Linked DNA regions of Mus musculus: all the other regions are reported to be linked to region 1. The links are microRNA targets in miRTarBase. Many come from high-throughput screens and were not tested one by one. Region 1 holds a microRNA gene; each other region holds the end of a gene's coding sequence.
The links. The annotated mature microRNA mmu-miR-297a-5p reads AUGUAUGUGUGCAUGUGCAUGU and lies in region 1 at 2,198-2,219, shown strand. An mRNA with a match to its seed (bases 2 to 7 or 8) in the 3' UTR can be bound and repressed. Matches are read on the target gene's strand: a 7mer-m8 pairs with bases 2 to 8, a 7mer-A1 pairs with bases 2 to 7 and ends in A, and an 8mer does both.

Region 1 (3,240 bases):
AGTTTGACAGCTCACATAGCTTAGGCTGACATCATATATTACAGGATGAACTCTATGTACCCATTGCTAACCATAAACTCATAATCCTGCTTCTATCTTGTAATTGTTGGGAAGACGGATGTGTATGCCCGATCACATCATCACATTCAGCTGGGACTCAAGTTTCCCTAGTGATTGTTAATACATCAACCCCCTACAACAAATGTCACCGCTTTGAGGAGAAGCCGTATATTTATATAGTATTTGTTAAAAAGAAAAACAGTGAAAGTCAAACAGCAATTTAAAATAAACTAGGGTTTGTGATGACAAAGTACAGAGAGAAACTTGAGAAAGAACCTTGTCTTGGCCCCAATACCTTCTCTACATGGATAAATCTTCAAGTGCTTTTTGTTTGTTTGTTTGTTTATAAGACAGTGTTTCTCTGTGTAACAGCCCTGGCTGTCCTAGAACTCACTCTGTAGATCAGGCTGGCCTCAAACTCATAGAGATCTGCCTGCTTCTGCCTTCTGAGTGCTGGGATTATCGGTGTGCACCACCATGCCCAGCAATATTCAAGTGTTTTAACTTACAAATACTTTCAATGTTAACATTTGCTTATTTATTTATATTTTTGTTTTGTAAATGATTTATATATTTATTATGTATAATAATATATCTGTATTTCATGTATTACATACATGAAAAAGTATGTGCTGCCCAATATCCCCAGTGCTATTGAACAGAAACAGAATAACACTGGGTCCCCGTTCCAAGTACAGTGAGAGATCCTGCCTGGGGAAAAAGCAGAGAATGATAGAGCAGGCCGCTCAGTGTCCTTTCTGCTCTCTTCCTGTACATAAGCTCATGCATCTGCGTGTGTCATATATACTGTTGCACACCTCACAATATATATACAATATACATATCTGTAGCTGTCTTCAGACACACCAGAAAAGTGCATCAGATCTCATTTCAGATGTTTGTGAGCCACCATTTGGTTGCTAGGATTTGAACTCAGGACCTCTGGAAGAGCAGTCAGTACTCTTAACCGCTGAGCTATCTCTCCAGTTCCAAAGTTAACATTTGTTACTGTGACAATAAATGGCCCTGTGAAATGCTGTCTCTTTCCATAGCAAGGGAGAAGCAATTTCTAATCTCTTCTTTGTTCGTGTTAATTTAGGTCTATGAGGCACATAGTCCTTCCTGTATCATGAAATATGGATAATATAAGATTACAGAGTCACGTTGCCCCACTTTCATGGATCTGAGTTTCTCCATGGAGAAGGAACAATTGGTTTCCTCTAGGAAGGCCCCCTGCAGCAAGAGCAAGCTAGAAAATCTGCTCCCCATGTTTTGTGCAGTCGTCTTTTTATGCAGACTTTGTCCCAGATGGCTCTTTCCACTTCCACGCTGGAAAGCTGGGTTTCTCTGCAATACTTGATAATGGATTATTTCACTGTCTTTGTGTTTTGCAATGTAGTTTTACAAGGTAGTTCTGGGTAGTCTAGAACTTACTAGATAGCTCATGCTGGCCTCGAGTTTTACAGTCTTTCTTCTGTCTTCAGCTGAGATATATACCACCATGCTACGAGGGCTTTAGTTTTAATCATGCAGACTTTTTCGCTTTGATATTAAATTTAAAAAAAAATCTACTACATATTTCCTGGTGGCTCAGTGGGTAAGAGCACTTGTTGCACAAGCTAGGGACTTGTGTCCAGCTTCCCAACACCCACATGAAAAAGTATGTGCTGCCCAATATCCCCAGTGCTATTGAACAGAAACAGAAGAACACTGGGGCCCCATTCTAAGTACAGTGAGAGATCCTGCCTGGGGAAAAAGCAGAGAATGATAGAGCAGGCCACTCAGTGTCCTTTCTGCTCTCTTCCTGTACATAAGCTCATGCATCTTTGTGTGTCATATATACTGTTGCACACCTCACAATTTAATCATTTTGGCTAAAGTGATTTTGTTTTTTGGTGGAGATCTCATGTAGGCCTGGATGAACCCCAAACTCCTGACCCTCCTACTTCAATTTCTCAAGTGCATGCATGTGCAAAAGCTAATTGATTTGTTTTTGAGAAAGGGTATCACTATGAAGCTGACTAGTCTGGAACTTGCTATGTAGAATTGCCTGGCCACAGTCTCACAGAGGTGGCATTAACAGCATGTCCCACCATGCCAGGCCCTAGAGCTAAATTTAAAGAATATGTATGTATGTATGTATGTGTGCATGTGCATGTGCATGTATGCATATTGCATGTATATATTATGCATACATGTATGTATTTGCTTGTGTTTGTATGTGTACTACAGCATGCAGGTGCTTCAAGATGATCAAGAGGATGTTGGTTTCTCTGAAGTAGAGTTAAAGATGGTTTTAGCCACCTGATGTCAGTACAGGATATGGAACCCAGGTGCTTCGAAGAGAGCAGCCAATGTTCTGAACCACAAAGCCATCCATCTCTCCAGTGCCCAGCTAAATTGTCAACGGGACTGCTTATGTTTCTTCCTTTGGGGCAGAATAAAGAGATGGACCTGACAAACCCTTTTAGCTACTGAATCAATTTAAGGTATTCACTCTAGTCAATTTGGAGGTTGTTCAGCATACATAATTATTTGTTTGAGACAGGGTCTACCCATGTAACTCTGGCTGGATGGGAATTCATTGTGTAAATTAGACTAATCTATATATTTTCTACAATCCTGCCATTAAGCTTGGAGCTCTAGGGTTTCTTGTGCCCTCTTCTGGCTAATGAGAGCACTGCATTTGTGTGTACAGATCCATACACAAGCTCCCACAGTATATGCATAATAAAAAATGAAATAAAATCTGGATCAGGAGAGATGACTCATTAGTTAAAGCATTGGCTGCTCTTCTAGAAGACCTTTGTTCAACTTACAGCACTCAAAGTAACTCACAATTATTTTTGACTCCAGTTTTAGGGGACACATGCTCTCTTCTATCCTCTACATGTGCCAGGCATGCAGGTGCTGAACAGACATACAAAAATGCAGGAAAACACCCATGTGCAATCAACCAATCTATTTTTAATTAAAAATTTTTGACAGGAGTGCTGATATACTCCTTTAATCCCAGTGTGGACACTATGCCCCTCCTTAGATTTGGGAACAAAACACCCATGGAAGGAGTTACAGAGACAAAGTTTGGAGCTGAGATGAAAGGATGGACAATGTAGAGACTGCCATATCCAGGGATCCACCCCATAATCAGCATCCAAACGCTGACACCATTGCATACAC
Region 2 (3,000 bases), not on the chromosome of region 1:
CATGTTTAAGGCGTGACCCTGTGGTTTCTGACTCCGAAGCATTTCTGTATAGATCTCATTATACATATGCCCATTAGTCGTACACTTTTGAGAGCCATTTTTTAGAGCAGGCTTCTCAAGTCAGGGAAGATAAACTTCTCTAGAAAAAAAAAATATATTGCCATTTCTACACTGTTTCACATTTGAGTAAGAATGACAGAGTGTGGTAGGCCTAAGTCACTATTTTAAATTCTTTTTTCTGCTTCTGTTAAGGATAGTGATGCTTACTGACTCGCTATTGGGTTTCCTATGTAGAGGACAGTTTCTTATGGCTATAGTCATTTGAATAAAGTCAGAACTGACAACCTGAATTTTTCAATGAATATTCATAGTATAACCATCAAATGGTTGTAATTCAACAGCCTCAAGACTAGAATTCAGAATGTCTGCCTCATATTGTAAAAGCATTTAGTATAAAATAAGGTATAACCAATTATTAACTTAGCTACAAATTATACCTTTTTTGATAAAAATACTTGAATATTATAGGTTTAGCCGTGAGATATGGATCTGTCTACATGGAAGGTGGATTTGCAGACTTCCCATAAGCTGCAGAGGAGACTGTGGAGGTAAATGGGGTAGGGGTGACTTCTAAGTCACGACATTCAGAAAAGGAACCTGCTTCCTTGTTTGCCTCGGGTTTGTGAGGGCTGCAAGAATGCATGCAAATATTACAAATACCATTCATTAAAATTCATAGCTAGAAGCTGGAGGGAAAGTGTGTCCTGAGAGACTTTCCTGACTCCACACACAATGTTTCCTATGTTTACAGAAGACAAGGGCAAAACTGGAGAAAAATCTAGAAATAGTAAACCAAAAAAACTAATTTAGAGTATGATACTTTAAAAGCAGGAACCTAACCTCAGTCCAGAGTCCGTGTGTCCCCACTGCAGAGTTAAGTAGCCAGGAAAAAGTGCACAACGCATAACTGCACATTTAATATCAAAGATAAATAAATAACAGCTAAGGGTCTGATTTAAGAGCCTGAGGATAGAGAGACGAGGAGGAGAGAGGTGGGAGGCAGAGGCCATTCTTGGAACTCAGCCTCTGAGAAGAGCAGCACAGAATGCGTAGGAGCTGTGCCGTGCACACCTGTCAGCTGACTGAAACCACCATGTTAGCCCTTCTCTCTGGCCTTCCGTATATCCACTCCAGGGTGACCACGCTCTGTTTAAGTTCCCCAAATGTTGACCGAGTAAGCTGCCGCTCGAGAGACAAGGGCACTGTTCCTTCCTCACCTAAGATGCTGCGGTCTCCCTCCTCTGGAGAGGGCAGGCAACAGTATTGGGGGTTTCCTCTCACTACATTTTTAATGGCAGATACCAGTCAGTGTGGACATCCACGTTTTAGAGACTGCAGGCATCTTAAAACTTAAAAGTCAACTTGCCTTCCCATCCACATTTCTTGGTCACTACCAGCAATTACGTTTGTGATTTCAGTTCACCCTATTAGCTTCTTCTAACACTCTTGGAAAACACAGGAGCCTCAAAGTAAGAGATTCCAATCCATCTTCCCCTAACAGCTGCGCACAACACAGTTTCTAAGAAAGTGAGAAACAGACGTGATCCAAGGAAACGACCTCCGTCACTTTCTCCCGAGGGCATTCACAAATGTCATTCACATTTGCAAGCCCCGCTAACTCTGAGTGACCCCATTCCCTCACACCACCCCACTGAATCCATAGAGTACTCAAAGGGACACCAACACTGGCTGTGTCAGTGAGCCCAATGGACTGAATGCCCAGCAGAGACATCCAATTCATTGACTAACTTTGTACTGAACCTTGCTTTTGTACCTGGTCTGGTGACCCGCTCAGATACATCCAGTCACAGAAGCACCTTTGAGTTGTATGGATGTAAGAATAGTTGAGATAGAAGTTATTATATGCATCTTTGAGAATCACATTTTGATGATTATAAAAATTTATCTATTTTACAACATGGGTTTAGCTACACTGAAAAAATTACACAGCTTATTGAAATACATCTCATTTTAGAAACAGACTACTAAAGTCTATACAAAAACTCTAAAATAATTTCTGTAGTAAAATAAAGAGTGTGTTAAAAGAGCTACACAAAGAAGAAAATTCCCATCTTCTCTATAATGCTTGATATTGTGTGAAACGCAGCCAGCTCGACTCTGCAGCCAGCACCAAAAGCTGAACCGAATTCATTGCAGTACACAGTGATATAGTTAATGCTCTGGACTAACCTCACAGCCTTCCCGATCAGTATAAAGGAAACAGGCCCACCCCTCTCTGAGGAGAAGACCGAGATATAAAAGCAAGCATACCTCATCCGCTGATATGAAATTATAAAATCCCACAGTCACAGTATCTGAAATTTATAAAAGTCATCAGAAAATGCAAGCAAATTGGGCTTTAGTTCGGTGGTTCCCCTGGTTTCAAGGGCAGTCGTCGTCTTCACTCCGTCAGGCCAGTCTGAGGGCTCACCAGGACAACGGTGAAGGCCCTGAAGGAGGCCGTGGAGTCAGGCAGACCCCAGAGAAGTACGGCTGCGTCCCTTCTGCCAGCTCACCGTGGGGACGGCACTGGCTAGGGCTAATGGTGCTGGGCGGGGGCCGCACTGTTCTTCTCTGCCAGGTGTCTCAGAAAGGTGTCCTCGCTCTGGCTTCTGTGGTTTAGGGGTTCACTCTTGAAGAGGGCTGGGGGTGGGGGCAGGTGAGGCACAGGAGGGATGGGGAGGTGGTGCGCGTGGTGTGGATGCGTGTGTATGTGCAGGTGTGAGAAAGGGTGCGGGACGGGTCTCGAGGGAAGCACAGCACCCACGGGGCTCATACTGACTGCAGGGGCTGGGCTGGTGGGAGTGTTGGCCACGGCCGGAGCGGGAGCAGCTGGAGCTGAGGCCAGTGGGATCTGGACAGCTGGCGGCACATTCACTGGGCTGGTCACTCGGAAGCACTTCTCCTTGTGGGCCTTCAGCATGTTGGAAAAGCGGAACC
Region 3 (3,240 bases), not on the chromosome of region 1:
GGGGGGATACACTGTCTCCCTCTTTGATATCAGAGAGACTACTGCTGTTTAAAAATAAAAAGAAACAGAAAAAGGAAGAAAGGAAAACCCATGCATGGCGAGACAAACATATGTATAAAGAGAGAGGCATATCAAAGTGTGGGCGGTCTTGGCTTCCAGCAAATGTGTGGCCAGTGTTCTGAGCGTCAGCTACTCTGGGCCACATTATTTTGGAGTTGGCCATACCTCTGTCTCTTCTTATCATCAGAGTTGAGCTCAATGTATCCAACCACAAACAGTGGAGTACACCATTTCCAGGAGGTACAGTGTGCCCTCGGCAGAGCCGGTCCAGCCGCCGACTTCACCATATGGGAAAGCGATTCCCCGGAACAGGCTGTGGCCCAAGGAGTCTGCCCCTCACCGCAAGGACCTGGCTCGGGTGCTACCCAGCTCTCCCATTCTGCTAAGTGCCCTCAGAGTTGTCTACCCGATAGCTCTTCCTGAGGACCCGTGTACGTGAACTGTGGATCTGTGCAGGCCCTGGAATGAAAGGGGCTGGGCTGGGCTGAGTGTTCTGGGATCCTCCATTCCCATCCCCGGGAGCTGAGAAAATGCAAAATAACCCCACACTGAGTAAAGGACGAGACCATTATTTTTCACAGTTTGAAATTATAACCTAGCATCACCACTGGTCACACTGCAGAAGTGTCAGAACCCTGGGGGATGTGGCCCACAGAGTGAACACGGGTGCGTCTGGCCACCCTAACCTCTTGTCACTTTGTACTTGGGAAAGGAACACGTGCTGTCGGGGGACGTCTGTTGGCTTAGCGTCCTCTTCATCAGTGTCACTCTGTTTTATTGCCTATTAAAAGGCCTTGATTCCTTTTTTTTCCTTTTGGGATTTGTTTGTTTTGTTTTGTTTCCTGAATAGTTGTTTGTGTTTTTTTTTTTCTTTTCTGAACTATCTGCTATACCTTCCACAACCAAACTATGTTGAAGTTTTATTTCAATACTATGACAAAAACACGTTTCACACTAAAATATTCACGCATCCACAGTGCACAAGCTTGCGTTCTAAAGCAGAATGAAAAAACAAAAGCAAAATTTCTATACAAAGGGCTGGCTTTTCCCTTCTCCCCCCTCCCATCCCCTGAAAGTTTCTGTATTTTCCCCCCACTTGGTTTCCGATCCAGGAGAGTTGTATTATAACTCCAGACGATATTTGTTTTTTTTTTACAAATGTTGCCTAACTGAACAGAAGGCCGATGTCACTTTACTTCCATAGATTTCCAAAAGGAGACACTACTTCCCTGAAGCACACGCGCTCTTCCGTTCAAATCTAGATTCTGGGCTCTAAAGGAAGTGGTATGTATATATTTTATTTGGCTTTCTACAAAAAGGAGGTGTCTGGGGTAAAAAAAAAAAAAAAAAAAAAGGAAAAAAAAAAGAAAAAAGAAAAAAAAAGAAAAGTGTGTTCACCAAGACCAGCCCCAGCCCCAACTATACAATCTTCTCTGCTTCATTCAACAAAGCCAAAGGAGTCCTTCAGAGGAAGGGTGCGCAGACACCTGGGCAGTAGGTCCAGTGTCACAGACACAGGCAGGTGGCAGCTAATCCAAAAGTGGTCTAACATCCCCCATCTCCCCCTAAGAAACAGAATTAACAAAAAAAAAAAAAAGGCAAAATCATTTCAGAAGGAGGGGCTCTCGCCCCAGTTTGACACAGGTAAAAACTGTAATGAATCAGAATCCTCAGGGGTAGGGCAGGGGATGGTTAGGGGGATAGAGCCACTGTAAACAATCATCTTTTGTAACCTTCACCCATGCTAAAAGCAACCTGTGAGGATTCTACCTGCCTCTACGGGGTACCTGTTGCTTAAAGAAAAAACAGGGGGCGGGGGGGGGGGGGAGCTATTTTATACAGGGACATTAAACACAACCAAAGTCAAACGTAGTCTGTCAACTTGTAAACACTGGAAAGCAAACTTGATAAACAGGGAAGAAAGGGAAAGAAAAGAAAGAGTAGAGGAAAAAAAATCAAAAGCAAAAGAACTGGAATAAGCTGGCATTTGGCATGCTTCCTAAGAAACAGGAGTCCCCGTGGGAACTGAACTCAGCTAGCCAGAGTGCCACACTCCGCATATGGAACAAACACAAACTGAACGGAAAGTATAACTTATTTGTGAGGTTCGACAGAGTTCCAACTTGACTGAAAGTATAAAAATAAACTGTGGGCTTGGTTCATTCCTTAGTCTAAGTTCTTGGAAGCATTTTTTTCTGAAACTGATCTGTGCCAATTGGGTAATACCAATTGCAGCCTCCCCGAGCCTAGATCTATCTTTCTTTCTTTCTTTCTTTCTTTCTTTCTTTCTTTCTTTCTTTCTTTCTTTCTTTCTTTCTTTCTTTCTTTTTCGATCTGAGCTTCCTAGATTCTTAATCTGGGGCCCTTTTGTCTGAATTTTAAATGGTTTCAGGGAACGGAGTGTCCTAGTTTGGCTGTGGGTTTAACCTTTTTGTCTCTTTTTTTTCTTAACAAGTGAGTGTAAGACACAGGAGCCCTTTCTAGAACCCTACAAAAAGGCATTCCCGTGTTGTTTATCTGGTTTTGTTTTTAAAGGCAAAAGACACTAGAGGAATGTGTTTGTGTGTGCGTGTGTGTGTGTGTGTGTGTGTGTGTGTGTGTGTGTGTATGTGAGAGAGAGAGAGGGGGGGGGATTATTTGGGGATGCTCTGGTGAAGCCGCTGTGTCACTTTTCATTTTGATCTTTGCTTGTTGCTTGGTACCCATCATGCTTTGCTCTCATTCTCTTTTGTTTGTGTGGCATCGTTGGGGACCGTCTTGACTTCAGTTGGCGCTGGCTTGGCTTCTGACTCCGGGGGCTCAGACTTTGTTTCTACAGGGCCCTTTCTGCAGAGAAACAGAAACAGTGTTGCTAAGACCACTTAGTAGAGCTCTGAAAATACTGCCCTCCCCCTCTGAAAATACCACCCTCCCCCTGCTCCCCGTGCCACATGGGATGGAGGAGGCCTCAGTTGCAGCTTCAGCATCTAACCTTGCATGAACATTGAAATCACCTGAGAGCTCTCCAAACCACTCACACCTGGGGCATGTCCCCAGAAATCCTGGGTATAGTGACTTTAAATGCAACCATAATTCCAAGGTGCAGATGGCTAGGTGGAGATGAACTAGCCAAGAACAATCGTCTCCTCTTCCAGACTTAACTTTCCCCAGCCCATGTTAACCTGGGAGTTCCTCTCTCCC
Region 4 (3,240 bases), not on the chromosome of region 1:
CTTCCCTCAGAACTAAAAATGGCTCATCTGCTCCCTAAAACTGTGCCGACTCCACCTACCACTGTAGCTGTGGCTCCCCTCCGTAACGTCTCTGCCACCCTGAAGCCTGAGCTTCTGTTGACCAGCATTTCAGTGACAGCTAAGACTTTGAAGCAGAAGGAGGCCACCACAGCATCACCTGTCACCACCGTGACCTCGAAGCTCCCAGGAGTCCCAGGGTCTACAAGTTTTACACCCGTGGTTACACATCAGGCAGCTTTGACTAACACCTTTCAGGCACATACAGACTCCAAAGGCATCTTAGAAACAATGCCCTTTCAAGGAGGCTCTACGCTGACTTCAGACCCGAGGCACGGGAAAAGCTCAACCTCAGAGTCTTCCATTACAAACAAGACTGCTTCCTGGGAGGACAGGAGGGTCAGTGTAGGCAGCGCATCGCTGAACAAGGGTCCAAAAAGCCAGCATGGCCTTTCATTTGAGAAGTGGCTTCTCATTGGGACCCTCCTTTGTGGTGTTTTGTTTCTGGTAATAGGTCTCGTCCTCTTGGGTAGGATGCTGGTTGAAGCCCTCCGTAGGAAACGGTATTCAAGACTTGACTACTTGATCAACGGGATCTATGTTGACATCTAAAGACAAGTTCGGTATCTCTTAGTTCATGTAAGAACTCATTGCCAATCGCACCTGTGTCCCTTCTGCCCAGCCGGTCTCAGCAGGAACTGTATCTTGAAGAATAGCCCTACTTCCCTCCCCCTCCCCCTCCCCCTCCTCTCCCTCCTCTCCCTCCTCTTCCTTTTCCTTTTCGAAACAGGCTCAGGTAGCCCAGGCTGGTTTTGAACTCCTGATCTTCCTGCCTCTGCCTCCTGAGTTCAGGGATTGCAGATTTTCACTACCATGTCTGGATTTTTAATTAAAAAAATTTTTTTTAATTTTTTTTTTCCCAATACTACATACAGGTCAGGGTCCTCTGCATGCTAGGCAAGCCATCTCCTTCTGAGCCATCCCTCAGTCCAACCACTTTCTGTTTGTCTGTTTGGCTTTTTTTTTTAAAGAGGAAGAGAAGAAGGGTTAAAAGAAACTAAGTTAAGTTACTGAGTGATCTGTCTGTAACATAGTAGCTGAAAATAATTCCTAACTAGAATGTTAAGTATACTTAAATATAAACTAGAAACGTAGTATCTGGCTTTAGATCAAGACAGCTTGTTGGTTTAGGACATCTGAGCTCTGATTCATTACTATTCCCCATTCCAGATAATGGCAACTGTTTGATACGAGTTTTAATGGGTCCTCTTTTATTTTTATTTTTTTATTTTATATGAATTCCAATAAAATTCATTCCAGATGTATCTTCCTCCAATTAAATATTTGAATAAATCTCTTGTTCTGGCGGCACAGCCAGCTGGATAGCTTTCAATTTCTTCCCATCAGCAAAGTGAGGGAGTGGGGAAGCAGGCACCCCATGCTGAAAACCTACGACCTCTCTTCCCACCAATGACCAAAGAAGTTCCTTAGGGAGGATCTTAGCAGAGTGTTAGTCCACCATGGAGACGACGGTTTTTTGTTATTTATTTGTTTAAGACAATGCCTCACGTAGCCTAGACCGGCCTCAAACTCTCCACGGAGCCAAGGGTGGTCTTGAATTCCTGATCTTCCTGCCTCTGCCATCCAAGATCTGGGATTACAAGTATGTGCTCCCCTCCCCCACCCCGTGACTGGCTAGTTAATTAGTTCTTATACACAGCCAAACAAGGGATTTAGGATTAGGCCTAACTTTTTTTTAAAAAGTGCTAACATTTTCTAAAATTGTACCAAGTCTAAAAATTTCTGACATTACTTATGACTATCTAAACTTGAACAACCATCAATTACAGGTTCACTGGGAATGATATCAGAAGTAATATGTAGCATTTTGATTAGTATACTATACTTTTTATTGGTTGCGTTCTGCAATTTTGGGGAAATGTTGATAAGGAAGAGATTTTGCCAGACAAGTGGGGTTAGGGTAACTAAGAGTGGAGAAGACCATCTGGGTCCGTTGGACCTCTCATCTCTGGATTTCAATGTGCTTATTGGCTATACAAGAATGGTAGAACCATCCAGATATAAACAGGTTAGTACATATTTGTGTTTGCACACGTATGTAGAGACCAGAGGTCAGTGTCAGGTGGTGTCTAGTTTGACACTGTTCTTGTGAAGAATACCATGACCAAGCAACATTTCCTGGTCAAACCTCACCAATGAGGGAAACGGGGCAGCAACTAAAGCAGGGACTGAAGCAGAAATCACGAGAACCCCTGCGGATGGGCTTGCTCCTTTCTTATATAGCCCAGGTTCATCTGTGTAGAGATGTACTGTCCACAGTGAGCTGGGTCCCCCTCCTTCATCCATCAGACAGAGGTCAATATCATGGAGGAGACAGTCTTTCTAGGTGTGTCACGTTGACAGTCAAGATACTAACACAGGTCATTTCCTCTACGATTCACCTATATATTTATTTATTTAGCTTCTTTTTCAAGACAGGTTTGGTGTGTGTGTGTGTGTCCTAGAACTAGCTTCGTAGACCAGGCTGACATGGAACTCACAGAGATCCCCCTGCCTCTGTCTCCTGAGTGCTGAGATTGAAGGTGTGCGCCACCACCACTCTGCTTTACGCCTTATTTATTTTGTTTAATCCAAGCTCTTGCTGAATATGGAGCTTACCGTTTGTCAAGACTAACTGGCCAGTGAGCTCCAGGAATCCCCCTGTCTCACCTCCCCGGTGCTAGGATTCCAGAATGCACCATCACACCTGCTTTTTAAGTGGCTGCTGGGATCTGATCTCAGCCTTTTCCTGACTGAGCTATTTTCCTAAGGCCCTAAACGTGGTTTTTAAAGGTAAAAATGGAGAGCTGACTCAGCAGTTCGGAGCACTTGCTGTTCTTACACAGGCCTGGGGTTCAGCTGCCGGCAGCCTACAGCTGTAACCATCTGTAACTCTAGTTCCAGGTGATCGAACATCCATCCCCTCTGGCCCCGCACAGGTACCTATATGTGTATATGTATACATACAATCTGGCACATACATACACTGAACACACACACACTTTGGACTTCACATGTGACCTAAACAGCAAGCACTAGAGGGCAGTAGCTGATTAACAAGGGTAGCCAGGAAGGCAGAAGGAGAAAATGACCCAAGGGCTTCTCCCCTTCCTCCTCACCTCTTCTCTCCTCACCTCCTCTTTCCTCAAGGCCTTCTTCCCC

Region 2: miRTarBase lists Zfp652 as a target of mmu-miR-297a-5p. The part of its 3' UTR that is shown has no 7-base or 8-base seed match.
Region 3: the mRNA of Ncam1 is a reported target of mmu-miR-297a-5p. Seed matches in the 3' UTR shown: 7mer-m8 at 2,665-2,671.
Region 4: miRTarBase lists Mansc1 as a target of mmu-miR-297a-5p. Seed matches in the 3' UTR shown: 7mer-m8 at 946-952.

The regions. Positions count from the first base shown.
Region 1 is chr7:10,957,456-10,960,695 of GRCm38, reverse strand. It overlaps Mir297-1 (microRNA 297-1), which reads left to right and starts at 2,184; the gene lies at 2,184-2,259.
Region 2 is chr11:95,763,659-95,766,658 of GRCm38, reverse strand. It overlaps Zfp652 (zinc finger protein 652), which reads right to left. Exons shown (of 5, transcript NM_201609.2): 5 at 1,944-3,000. The coding sequence ends at 2,600. Among named protein-coding and RNA genes, the nearest start is that of Gm38957, 12 kb to the left of the region's middle.
Region 3 is chr9:49,502,678-49,505,917 of GRCm38, forward strand. It overlaps Ncam1 (neural cell adhesion molecule 1), which reads right to left. Exons shown (of 19, transcript NM_001113204.1): 19 at 1-2,886. The coding sequence ends at 2,766. Among named protein-coding and RNA genes, the nearest start is that of Gm11149, 14 kb to the right of the region's middle.
Region 4 is chr6:134,607,358-134,610,597 of GRCm38, reverse strand. Mansc1 (MANSC domain containing 1) reads left to right here. Exons shown (of 4, transcript NM_026345.4): 4 at 1-1,391. The coding sequence ends at 630. Gm38910 (a long non-coding RNA gene) reads left to right here and starts at 2,595. Exons shown (of 2, transcript XR_869496.1): 1 at 2,595-3,240.